Linked DNA regions of Arabidopsis thaliana. The protein of the gene in region 1 purifies or fractionates together with the protein of each later gene. This does not show direct contact. Each region holds a gene or a part of one and is shown on either strand. Other genes may lie near its edges.

Region 1 (7,389 bases):
TGGAGGATGAGACTGTGCTTCTTGCTTAATGCTCCCAGTGTCCTCCATTTTTTGAGCTATCAACTGTTTAGAGAAAGCTTAACCACATAAGTAAAGATTTCAACAAAAGGTAATGAAGCATTAGCTCAATCACAGAATCTCAAAAACCAAGTGCATCTTTCATAGTTGTATAGATTTCATAAACAAATTGTGAGCAGATACGATACTCGGATCCAAAATTGAACGATTTATGCGACAAGAATCCCCAAAATACGATCCTAAATCTTATACGAGAATGGTAAAATTGTCAGCATTTGAGTAGCAGAAGGAACCCTAATTCCCAAACGTCCACATCAAAATAATCAAAGTACGAAAGAGGAGAAAAAACTCACCAATATCGCTCGGCGGATGAGATGGAAGAGATTTGGCAAACCGTCGTTATTCGTAGTCCGTCGAGTGTAAAGCCAGAGAGTTTGTTTGGAAACGCGAATAACTCTCTATTCGGGATTGACTAAATCTTTTTGCCAACCAGCCCTTATTTTATTTTGTCTGATTTTTGGACTTTTAAAATTTAAAAAGACAAATACACATACTGTAGTTTTGGTTTCATTGAACAACCCTTTCCTCCGCTAGTCTTGTCTGCCTTCTTCCGCATCTCTCTTGTCTTGAATCCGTTAAAAACATGATTGATCCCTCGCAGGCCCGGCTTAGAGGGTGTGCCGTTGGTGCTAGTGCACAGGGTCCTTTATTTTTTCATTCATTTTCTTTAAGCAATCAAGGTCCATTATACAAACAATAGTGTATAATCAAACTAAAATCTAAACATATAGAACATATATTAGAAAACAAATTAATGAGCACAGGGTCCCACGTTTTGTTGAGCCGACCCTGATCCCTCAAGTCGATTCCACGGTAGGTTCTATCTCTATCTCTTCTTCTCTTTTACTAATCCTTACTTGGGTATATTTCCGGTGCTAAAGAAAATACACGTGACAGGATTTTAGTAGACTTACTAGGCCAAACAATTTTTAGAGGTGGAAGTACACCACTTAATTTGATGCTGATCGTCGGAGACATCTCAAGACATATACAGGGTTATTGAGGGCTATTCGCGTTTTGGTTTCGAAAGGAAACTGCAGTGTTATCTTATCACAGCCTCAAAAGGTAGCATCAGGACAGCTACCTGATGGTGTTGAGACAGTATGGCTTTGGGAAAGCCTATCAGCTCAAGCAAAGATGGTGAGTCGGGATAGTGGACTAGTGGCAATCGAGGAGCTATTAACCAATTCGGTGAGTAGGAAAGATCAAATCATGCAATCGTGAAAGAAAACCAATTGAACCTATATATGAAATCTCTAACGATAAAAGACCAATCATTGAATCGATTAAACAATTATGGTTGATGATATTACATCCTTATAAGTTCATTCACAGAAAGAAAGATCAAAATGCCAGACAAAAAAAGAATTAGATATTACGCTTATCTTCAAAGGTAAACTAAGAGAGATCAAAATAGTATCCGTCTCTCATATCATCAATGAGAGCATCATGCGTGTGAGCCTAAAGATGATGAATTATCCATGTCATCGTCAATAAGCTACCGAAACCGATGAAGGTCACCATCCAACTGCTGGAAATCGGTCTGCCACCACGGCTCATATCTGCTTGTCCTGCACCCATTGAAGTGTCATCCGCTAATCGACCATTGTTGGCTCCCTTACTGCACATCATAAGATTTTAAAGAGTATTGTTGAAATAAGGTATATAGATTTGAATCATCAGTGAACAAAGCTACACAGAGAATCACACAAGTATAAACAAAGACATACATTCATGTATTGAACAATCTAAGAACCAAATCCATTATTACCAAAATAGGATTAGCTCTTATTGAGGAAACTGAAATTGAATAATTCAAATCACAAAGATAGTTTGAAATTGATTACCTCGAAGGATATTTGCAAGTTCCCTGACCTGAAAACACACATTGGGGGGAAAATTACTTCAACAAGATGCACATATGTATCTGAATCTAAGACTTGAATTTCTATTTCAAAAGAGATCATCATGATAATCCTGATTTCACTACACTACACTAGCAGATATAAGATATCGATTCTTAGAAGAAGGCTTTTTACTTGGATTGAGTGAAGTAAGAGCAGCGTTATTGTTGAAATTGCAAGCTTCGTCCTCCTCGCCGTTCTTCAGATAATAATTGTTGAAAACAAACGACGCCATTTTCTGAACATCCGTCGGGTCGTTACAAGGTCCACCTTGCTGAATCGGACCACAATCGGCTCCGCCTTGACCACAAGCCCACTCAATCGCCGTCTGTAGCGACGAATCTTCCGCGTTGTTCTTCGCCACACACCATAACTCCACCTGTATCACTTGACCGCCGATCTGCGCAGTCGTAATCACCATTAACATCGCCGCCGTCGCAGCGAGAATAGAGAGACGCAGATGAGAACACTGAGGGAGAGACATTATCATTTCCGAAGAGAGTAACGAGAGAGGGAGAAGATCAAGCAAAGGAGTGTTGAGAAGAAGGTTTTGAGTTTTTTTTTTATAACCGCTGATTTTGCAGTGGAGCACCAGAAAGTTACCGTTAAAGGTATCGGAGAAACTGGAAGATCTAACAGTGACAAGAGAGTGAATCTGAATAGACTCGAGAATATTTTGGAATGTTTCGTGAAAAAGAGAAAGATTCGGGTGTATCATGTAATTCTTGGATTTTAGCGCTAAATTGGGCCTCTATGTTGGCCCATGAAATAATGGTAAATGAGTGTTTGGGCCTTGGGGCACTGGCCAATGAAAAATAAGTGCTCGGATTATTGACGTGGCTCTTCGTGATTGGTTAATTTCCTTTCAGAAAGGCTTTTTGTCTCGCGACCGTCTAATTTTCTTCAGTTTAGCTTTTCCGAGGAGAAGATCAGCCATGGCTTCTTCTCCGCCGTCAGATCCCACCGATCGAGATGCAGAAACTCTTTCGCAGAACCCTAGTTTAATCGAGAAGCCGAGCGTAGTAGAGCAAGGAAGTCTTTCCGTGGAGAATGTCGCTGAAAAAGCCTTAAATTTAGAATCAACACAAGACGAAGAAACGCAGAACTTGCAGGATCTGGAGGAGTCCGACGGTAGAGATCAGCAATTAGAAGCTTCGCTTGAGGAAAGTAGGAACGAAGAGGACGATATGGACACGACGCAAGCCGTAAGCTCTTCTTATTACCGCCGTGGAGGTGGACCAAAGCGGAAGAAAGGGAATCAGAAGAAACGAAAGCAGCTAGAGAAGTCAAAAGAGAAACTTGAGGTACTTTTGAAAACTTTGAAGCCGATAGCTTTCGCTCCATGTAAAACCCTAGATTTTGCTCGGCATGAGAAGCTATTGAAGACGTTAGGTCTGTGGGATTTTGTGCATTTGGATTTTGATCAAAATATCCGTGAGGATCTAGTAGCGAACCTTGTTGCGTATTATAATTCAGAGCGTCGATGCAGCTATGTAAATGGGGCTAGGATTAACGTCAGCCGTCCCGATTTGGCTCGAGCGTTGAAGTTGCCTATGAAGAAAGACTTTGTTGTTACAGAGGAGGAGAGAGAACTTCTGGAAAACGATGAATCGGTTAGGTTTATTGATGAGATTGTTTCAACTTGTGTTCTACTGCAAAGAGATGATATGTGGATTATGCCTGTAGAGATTGTTGAATGGACAAGGGATATAAAGCAAAAGCATTTGGAAAAGTTAGACTGGCCCAAATTGCTCTGGTTCATGGTTGAGAAAGAACTGAAAGCGGAGCCTCCGCTTGGTGATTGTTTTTTTGCTTCTCATCTGCAGCTGTTGATCAAATCACAGAAAGAAGATTTGCTAAAGGAGAAATGTAAGGCTGATGATGAGGAGGATGATGATGATGATGATGACGATGTAAAGGAGGTTGATTTTTTGGTAAAATCACCAAAAGAAGATTGTTTGGAGGTTAAGGAAGAAGATGTTGGTGCTGCAGATTCAAGAAAGGATGATGGTGCTGTCGACTTGAAAGAAGACAAGTATGTGGAAGAACATATGCTCGAACTGAATCTCGGGCAAGAGACAGTGTCAGAAATGGTCTCTGGGGAAGAGCGAGGTCCTGTTGAGGGACAGCCAATGGATGTTGAGGAAAATAAGAAAGAAGAGGATGAAAGGTGGGCATGGAATGGAGACTCTCATGCTGGTTCTCATTTCCTTCGCCGTTGCAATCATAGTAGTGCCAGGGAGGGAGACGAAGATAATCATATAGAAGGATCCATGGAAATGGGAGAAGATGAACCAATTGAAGATGTCGAGGAAGAGGAAACTGAGGAAGATACAGAAAAGCATGAAGGGGGGTTTCCTTTTTTTCCAAATGGTGATTCCCTCCAGGGAGTTGGCCAAGGGAATCTCATGTTGGGAGATGCATCTCCGTTAGGTTACAACTCTGGGTTACAAATTCATGGCAATTCAATTGGTGGTGATTTCCTTGCTTCTAGGGGTGAGATGCATATGGCTATGGGTTCAGGTAGTTCTTCTCTGTTCGGGAATGGCAATAACAAGAGGGAGATTGAACACGAGAATGGTATTACTTATCATTCTCATAACCCCATTAATAAGAGGTTGAGGACCGAAGAACCCTCTTGGGATGAAAAACCACCCCCAGTTGACATGTGTTTGGATCAGATGGCGTACTGGGCGGAAAAAGCTAGATTGTCATTTGCTGAAAAAGATCGAGAGCGTGAACAATCTGTTATAAACCAGCAGTACCTGATGAACGAGCTACAAAGCAAGACAGCAATGATTCAGGAATTGGAAAGAACCAAGTTTGAGGAGCAACAGAGAAAAGATATAATGATCTATAAGCTTGAGAGTGAGCTTCGTATGATGACAAGTGTAGTTGAGGGTTATAGGAAGGCTTTGAAAATAACACAAAAGGCGTCAAGAGAGCACAGAAAACGTTGCCCTTTACGTGATGATAAACAAGTTTACATGGATGTCAAAGGTTCTGGAGGTTTAGTCCTGAGCACTACTGAAATTGAAAAGCTGAGATTGAAGCAAGAAGAGGAAGACAGGATGCAACGAGTTCTAGCTAAAAGACAGATTGACGATTTTGAACATAACTGGCTTAATAAATTTGAAGAACACATGGAGGCAGTAGAATTGCTGAACGAGAGATTGATCGAGAATGAGGATGAAGTGAAGATCTTGAGAGAAACACTTTCGGAAAGCAAGAATATTGAGACATCTGAAGTTGCTGCTGCTATGGAAGAAACTGCTACAGAAGAAACATGAGATGCTCTCAAGGTACGTACTATACTATCCTTTAAGAAAAACATGAGTCCCTGTTTCGTTGAATTGGTGACTGAACGTTTTAGTCGCTTCCTGCATCCATTATAGAGGAATCTTGAATCTACTGTTTCCATGTTCAAAATAATATTATGGTGATGTCCGAGTATATCATATGAGTAGTGAGAGTGTGAGACACACAATAAAGAAAACCGATTTTAGTAGATGAGTAGAATTTTGTAATGACTCGGAATGTTTCAAGTATATATGCATAAGATTCTAGATATCTCAAAATATTCTGTCATTATTATATCCACCAACACTTAGTAATCTTCTTCTTTCGCCACTATGGTTTATATTAGTTTTGTTTTGTTTTTGTTTAACTGCTACATATAACTGATTTTTCTCAAATTTGTCTGTCCCTGTAGGTTTGCAAATCCGTGAAGCTTTTGAAGCTCATTTGAAAAAGCATCAATTTAGCATCTTCATTTTGTATGATAGACAATGATGATCGAATCCAATATCTTCTTTTTATCTCTTTCTAGGAAATGTAACCAACGGTTGTGATCAATGCCAAGTCTCAACTAGCACAAAACATTCAATCATCTTTTGAGATTCTTCAACATACTCTGATGAACAGCTTCAAAAACTGATTTAATCTTAGACTTTTGACGATTGTGACAACAAGTAGTAGTTGAGTGTACCATTTTTGGAAGAAAAATATAAGAAATAAATAATGAGAAGAAAATTGAAGGAAAAGGTTATTTAATTGGACTTTATAGTATTAGACTATTAGTATATTCCAGAGTATAAAATTGTATATAAGGCCCAATGAGAGGAGTGAATTGGTATTGGCACTGACATAAGTTAAAAACACTGGAACTGACAACATCTCGCTTTCATACATATCCCAACAAGTCCAACACAAGACCACTAACCTCTTGTCTTTAAAAAACTTTCTCCTCTTCAAATTTTCTTTTTATAATCCTCTTCAAAATTTTAAACTTCCTACTTTGTAGCTTTCCTCTGTAACTTTACTCTATCCTCCATATTAACTTTGACTGTCTCATTCAACTTTGAAACCAAAGTAAAAGATAAATTGTATTTGATTAAACATTATTTACAAATTGTTAAGAAAAATAAAAAAAGAAAAGAAGAGGAAACAAAGCCAATCATGTAGCAACGAGACCGTAGTGGTCCAGGCCAAAGAACATAGCACGTGAACTTACAGCTTAGCCTTCAGATGTCTCCACGTTCTCCCTTTTCTTTCCCTTTTTTCACCCCACATTTTCAGATTTTGACCCACTTTGACCCTAATTACTCATAAAGGTTTGATTCATAAGAAAATAAAACTCACTAATCTTGTTTTCTTTGTCTGTAATTATACAATGTATGACATTCGTGATGTGTTTGTATTCGTTGATATATGTATATATTGATATATCATCTAGATTCTATATGACATCATCTAAATGTCCAGGCCCTACGTAAGGAAGTGGCTACATTAGCTAGTAATACCTTACATTTTCACTTGATTTTTTCGAAGGACAAAAAATGAAAAAAACCTGAGGTTAAAATATTATTAAATCATCATAATTAATTGATTTTTTCTTAACAATGAAATAATCGTACGAGTTTTTAAGGAATGAGAAATCGCTTTCAGTCACTTCAAATATAAATTTTGAAACTATGTGTTAACATTTCATGGTTCACAAATCCTGTTCTTTTTGTCACTAGAAGTTAAACAAGTATATAAATTGTTATATTTGTTTATTATATGGATGATGGCACACATCAAAATTTGAACCATGTGAAAAGAGGGAATCTTTAACTATTCGATTACCCTAAATTTGATGGAAAAAAAAATCATTCGGAAAAAATATCAATTAGTACACAATGCATAGACACTCCAACAAAAAAATTGAATAAACAACAAATCAGCTAAGTTCTTTTTACATATCATTCCCACTTTCCCCCTCCCACTCCATAAGAAAAAAAAAAAAAAACAGATACATCAAAAGCAAATTCATCACAACTTAAAAAAATGTGATTAGATCAAATAAAAAAGGCCATCTTCTTTGATAAATTAATTTCTTGACACAAAGAGGTTTTATAGTCAAGAA
Region 2 (5,787 bases), on another chromosome or scaffold:
TAATGTCTCTGCGTGTGGTGTTTTGGTAGGCAATGTTGAACGCTGACTATAGGAAGCGGCCAATGGCGGAAGCTGTTCTTAGTCATCGATTTTTGAATGGCGTAGTTTAAATGAGAAGAGACGAAGATTATGTATTTACGTAATTATCTACAACTATTAATCCTTGATCCATGTTCTGAACATATAATCATATATCGTGGGTTCCCAAAATATGATATTGAATCTGCTCATCCTGCACTAGCTATACTAAGATTGTTTTGTTGTCACTAAACTAAACAATAGAATGTCGTCAAAAGTAAAAGAATGATGAAGATGCGCACGTGCTTGTTAGTCGCAAGGCACGTGAGATGATCCGAAGAAGAATCAAAGATGCTTCGCTTGAAGCCATAACGATGTGTGGGGAAGACGGCAAAGCAATCAAGCAAATACTTTTCCTTCCTCTTCTTCTCCAAAAGTCGTTTGTTTTCACATTTCTTTCGATTCCCACTTGACTCTCCGAGAAACCTTTGCAGATCAACAAACCCATCTTCTGATTCTGGAAACCCTAACCCACCCGGTTCCGATTCAGACAAACGGGTCGGAGACCGATTTTGATCTCGAACTCGATTCTTTCTCAGATGAAAGTATCAAAAATTGAGAATTTGAGGTTGTTTGAGTCTTAATCATCTCGATCAATGTCGCGTTTTCCCCGTGGATTTGTGGAGAATTCATCAATGGAGGAACCCAAAATCGCTCGTCGTCCAACTATTTGCTTCAGACCAATAAACCCTTCTGATTTAGAACGTTTGGAGCAAATCCATCGTGACATATTCCCAATCAGGTAAATAAATACCTTTGTTTTGGAAAGAATTTATATGTGATCTGGTTTTGGGATTTGACTTTCCGTTTTTTGGAAGTGTCTTATCAAAGCATTTGATTTTGTTCAGGTATGAGTCTGAGTTTTTTCAGAATGTTGTCAACGGAGGTGATATTGTCTCTTGGGCTGCTGTTGATCGGAGTCGCCCTGATGGTCATTCTGAGGAACTTATTGGATTTGTTACTGCCAAAATCGTACTTGCCAAAGAAAGCGAAGTGAGTTGCTTTGTGTTTTGTTCAAGTGTCTTCCTTTTTCATCGTCTTGTTCAAGTGTAGATTTCAAATGTCCGAAATGGGTTTCTTTCCACTGGAGAAAATAAAGCTTCAATTTGTAACGTTTCAAGTTATTTTTGAAGCTTGTTTTGAATGGTTTTTGGGTTTTGTAAAGAAGATGCAATGTCTTGTAAAGTGAAAATTTTGAATGTTTGAAACATTTTCTTAAAAATTTCTTAAAAATATAAACTTTCTACAATTTCAACAGCTTTTTCTAAGCTTTTAAGTTTTGGTTGGAGCTTCTTCAGTAGTAAAACATTGTCTTCTCTTTGTTCTTCGCCTTTTGGGTTTTGGTTCTGAAATTTCGAAATAACTTTATACAGCAAGTAACAAGTAATTGTGAAGTGTAGATTTTGAATGTTGTTGAACCATTTCACAATGTCTAATGGTTTAAGCGTGAATTTTAAAGCCATGTACATTAGATGGGTTTCTTACGAAAGTTCTAGAAAATCAAAAAGAGCCAGCCACTTTATTAACATCTTGATTATGATCCAAACTTGTTTTGTACTTGTTCGTTTAATGTTAAGAGTCATCAATGGCTGTTTCTTGGGTAATATGTTGATAGATTTTCTATGTCTTGTACAGATATCAGATCTAATAAGATATGACTCGTCGAAGGGAGAGGGGACATTGGTGTACATCCTAACACTTGGAGTTGTAGAAACATACAGAAAACGTGGAATCGGTATTGATTCTGACCCCATGTAGTAAACCAATGATATGGATATTTTGTTGATGGCTTGATGCTTCTCTTCTATTGCTTGGTTTTGTTAATATTAAGTTCTGCAACTTTTTTGTGCAGCTAAGGCACTTATTAACGAGGTCGTCAAATACTCTTCTGGTATCCCTGTGTGCCGTGGTGTTTACCTTCACGTGATTGCACACAACAATCCCGCAATCCGGTTGTACAAAAGAATGTCTTTCAGATGTGTAAGGAGGTTACACGGATTCTACTTAATCAACGGCCAGCATTTCGATTCTTACTTGTTCGTCTACTTTATCAACGGTTCTCGCTCTCCTTGCTCACCCTTGTATGTACAAAACACAAGTATTTTTTGCATTCTAAATTCTGTTTGCTGTGATGTTTCTTTGCGGTTTCTTCATAGATGGGGTTATCGCTGAATCATGGCTGCATTGCAGAGATCTTGCGGTGTTGGTTCTGAATTATATGAGGAGCGGAATCAAATCTTTCGCATCAAAGCTGACGGTGAACCACGATGAGAAAGGCTCGAAATGGCTTAAAAGCAAAGACAACACGCGGTGTCTCTTGCCCACTCAGACTAAACGAAACCTTGCATCGGAAAGAGTATCATCCGGGTATGATTACGTATAGTGTCCGTCTCCCATTCATAGACTTTGTAAAATCATTCATTTTAATGTCTTCCATTAAGCTCTGGTTGTGATCCTATTGTGTGTGTTCGTGTAGAATAATAATGTGATAAAAATGTAAATATTGTGATGTGATAGTTGAAGACAACTCTTTGGGACGGAGGGTTCAATCCACTGTTAGTCTTATTGTCTTAAATTAGTTAGCTTGTTGAAAAAATTAGCTTTGTGCTTTATGGCGTGAAAACTAGCATAAGCTCATATAATTTACTTAAAATTACAAAAACAAACCCCAATACTTTTTTCGAGAAACCAGATCCTTCTTCAATTCTGATCATGAACAGCTTTTGGCTCTAATTGGGGCTAATTCACATGACATGGAATTAACTAGAGATGTTTAAACAGATTTAAAAAAAAAAAAACAAACCAGACCAATTTTCTGGGTTAGTAACAAATTTCAGTTCACCACTGTGAATGCTTAAATTGTAATTTAAAAAACAATAGGGATTAGGTATATAATAAATGAAAGTTAACGAGCAAACTGTGAAGAACGAGGGAAAGGGGAAGAAGGAACGGAAACATAGAATTAGGGTTCACAGTGCATCAGAGAATCATAATTTCTCTGTTTCGGATTTTTAATCGTACAAGAGGTGAATTGATATTGGGTTCGGTTCGGTTCAAGTAAGTTAAATATTCTCTTTTTCGCCGATTATTTATTGGGTCAATCTCACTATAATTTCGGTTCACTGAAAATTTGAGAAACAGAAGTTGTCCTATAACGATTTTGACGATGAGAAGAATAAATCGAATTCTATGAAACTTTTGCTTAATTACTAGTTCGAATGTTATGAATTCCCGTGAATGAGTATTCAAAAAGGACCTTAGTGTGTTCTCATTGTTTTGAGCAGTTTTTAGCTTACATAGATTTATTTGTTTGGTTTAAGATAATGCTTTGTCAGAATTATGCGAAGCCTAGCCTAGCTTATTATGAATTGTGTTTGTTCTGCAGATTTGAATAATATTAGACTCTAGTAGTTAAGATGTCAGTGAGAGCTAGGAGGATTGTTTCGGGTAGATCAGAGACTGTAGCAGCTAATTATGCTTTCGATCCGTTACATGATGACAAAATTATAAGAAATAGGCTTCTCACACGCACGACCACCACCAGAGGCGAACCTCCATTGAAGAAGCTTCAGAAGAAATTCACTTCTTTTGTTATTGAACTAGACAAAGAAGAAGATAACTACAGTGAGTGTGGTAGGCTCGCGAAAGCTTTCTTGCAAGAACTCTCTGCGTTTGAGATTCCGCTTCTTAAGAGCCAAGTAGTTGTCGCTGCAAATCTTAGGGAGAAAGAGAACTTTAACGAGCTTAAAGATGAGACGAATAGGCAGATAATGCAGGCACAAGCTGATATAGAAGATCTTAAGAAACAGCTTGAGGAGAGTAAGATAGAGAGACAACAGAAAGAGGAGTGTGAAGCCATTAGGAAACTTATCTCTGCGCAGCCACCGAGGTCAGAGACGCAGAAGGTTATACATGAATTGAAGAAGGAGATTGCAGAACTCGAGGCTGAGAATACAGCAAGTTGGAGACTTCTTGAACTAAGGAAGAAGCAGTTTGCATTGTTGTTGCATGTGGTATGTCGATTTTACGGGTTTCGTTGTGTTTTTATAGCTAAGATTCTAAACAAGATTTCGCCTTTCTCGTGTTTCTTTATGTTTACAGCTAAATCCTAACCTTTTTGGTTTTGTGAAAACTTTTATGTATAGGTGGATGAGTTGCAGGAGACAATGGAGGATGAACAGAAGAGTATGGTGGAAGAAATGCAGAGGAACATTACCGCTGATGGCGCTGAAGCCATGTCCATCGATTAGCTCCTAATCTTAGCAACTTTGTCTTCCTCTTGAATGCTAAAGAAACAAACCTTTCATTGATAAGAAGAATCTGTTTTATAAATTTCTGGTTTCTTCTGGTTGCCTCATAACCAAAATTGCTATGAAAATAAGGATATGTATGTTTCATTTTAACTCGCAGATTCAAAAAAAATAATGGCAGATCTTCTCGAGGTTTTGAGGACTATGTGAACCGGAAAGGTCAGGAGAAAGTGATTTATTTGACTAAACCAAGTTTGGTAATGATTCATCAGGAAAATAACCGGTCCAGAAAATTCAACCGACTAAGATTTATTCCCGTACCAAAGAATTTGCTTTTAAACCGGACTAATATATATACAGTACACGTATATCTTCTCTATTTTGCAAAATCGTTCTCCTCTCTTCGCCACCAGAGAGTCTCTCCGTCTCTTTCCACGGCGAGTTTGCGATCGTCCGCGGTTTGCTGTTTGTCGTCATCTCTCTCGTTTGAAGCATTCTTTTCTAAATTCTTCGCAGTTGCTAGGTCTTTATCTTCTAAACCTTACTATTCGTCGGTGTGCTTTCGCAATTTATCTCTAAACCCTCGGAAATTTCTCCTGCAATTCTGAGCTCTTTGTTCGTCGATCCGAATATTCAGTACTTTCCATTGAAGGTTTGATCTAGAGGTAATTCGAATCGGAATTTGATCAACCTTTGTTTTCTTTGATATTTCGTTTCAGATGTTTGCTTCTTCTTTTTTCCGATGAATTTCGAATCGCTTGACCTTGTTCCGTTTTCCGTTTATCCTCCAAAGTCTGAATATGTTTATAGCTAGCTAGATTCAGGATTTGATTTTACCTTATTTCCCCAATAATAATGAAATCCTTCTTAGGTTAGGGTTTTTGTGTTTTTGTGTTTTGTCACTAGTTTTGAAACCGAAAATTGTCATCAAGTGTGCAAGTACTTTGTCAGAGTAATGCCAATATAATAGTTTTGTTATTCTCATCTTGCTCGGCTGTAGTTTTGCTACCATTGTAATTGTTGTTACTGAGTAACTCCTTTTTCTGTGGTTAGGTCTTGACTAAAGTTCTTGAAAATGGAAGTGGAGAAGTCTAAATCAAGGCATGAAATCAGGGAAGAGAGGGCTGACTACGAGGGTTCGCCTGTTAGAGAACACAGAGATGGAAGGAGGAAAGAGAAGGATCATAGGAGCAAGGATAAAGAAAAGGACTATGATCGAGAAAAGATCAGGGATAAGGACCACCGCAGGGATAAGGAGAAAGAGAGAGACCGAAAAAGAAGTAGAGATGAGGACACTGAGAAGGAGATCTCTAGAGGTAGAGATAAAGAGAGGGAGAAAGATAAGAGTAGAGATCGGGTTAAAGAAAAGGACAAGGAAAAGGAAAGAAATAGACATAAAGATAGAGAAAATGAGAGGGATAACGAGAAGGAAAAAGACAAGGATAGGGCAAGAGTCAAG

Evidence for each region.
Region 2: the proteins of AT3G58110 (region 1) and THO7 fractionate together in Arabidopsis thaliana (co-fractionation; one large-scale study listed by BioGRID). This does not show direct contact.

The regions. Positions count from the first base shown.
Region 1 is NC_003074.8:21,513,858-21,521,246, forward strand, and holds AT3G58110 (uncharacterized protein), read left to right. Parts: upstream 1-2,777; 5' UTR 2,778-2,917; coding exon 2,918-5,272; 3' UTR 5,273-5,284; intron 5,285-5,694; 3' UTR 5,695-6,005; downstream 6,006-7,389. Other genes in the region: AT3G58090 (Disease resistance-responsive (dirigent-like protein) family protein), read right to left, coding at 1-48; PDCB5 (plasmodesmata callose-binding protein 5), read right to left, coding at 1,540-1,699, 1,926-1,953, 2,118-2,700.
Region 2 is NC_003076.8:5,521,183-5,526,969, reverse strand, and holds THO7 (Tho complex subunit 7/Mft1p), read left to right. Parts: upstream 1-2,958; 5' UTR 2,959-3,135; exon of another isoform or gene 3,136-3,463; 5' UTR 3,464-3,494; coding exon 3,495-4,091; intron 4,092-4,223; coding exon 4,224-4,328; 3' UTR 4,329-4,553; downstream 4,554-5,787. Other genes in the region: AT5G16810 (Protein kinase superfamily protein), read left to right, coding at 30-110; AT5G16800 (Acyl-CoA N-acyltransferases (NAT) superfamily protein), read left to right, coding at 675-820, 927-1,071, 1,714-1,813, 1,931-2,134, 2,235-2,461; DOT2 (SART-1 family), read left to right, coding at 5,404-5,787.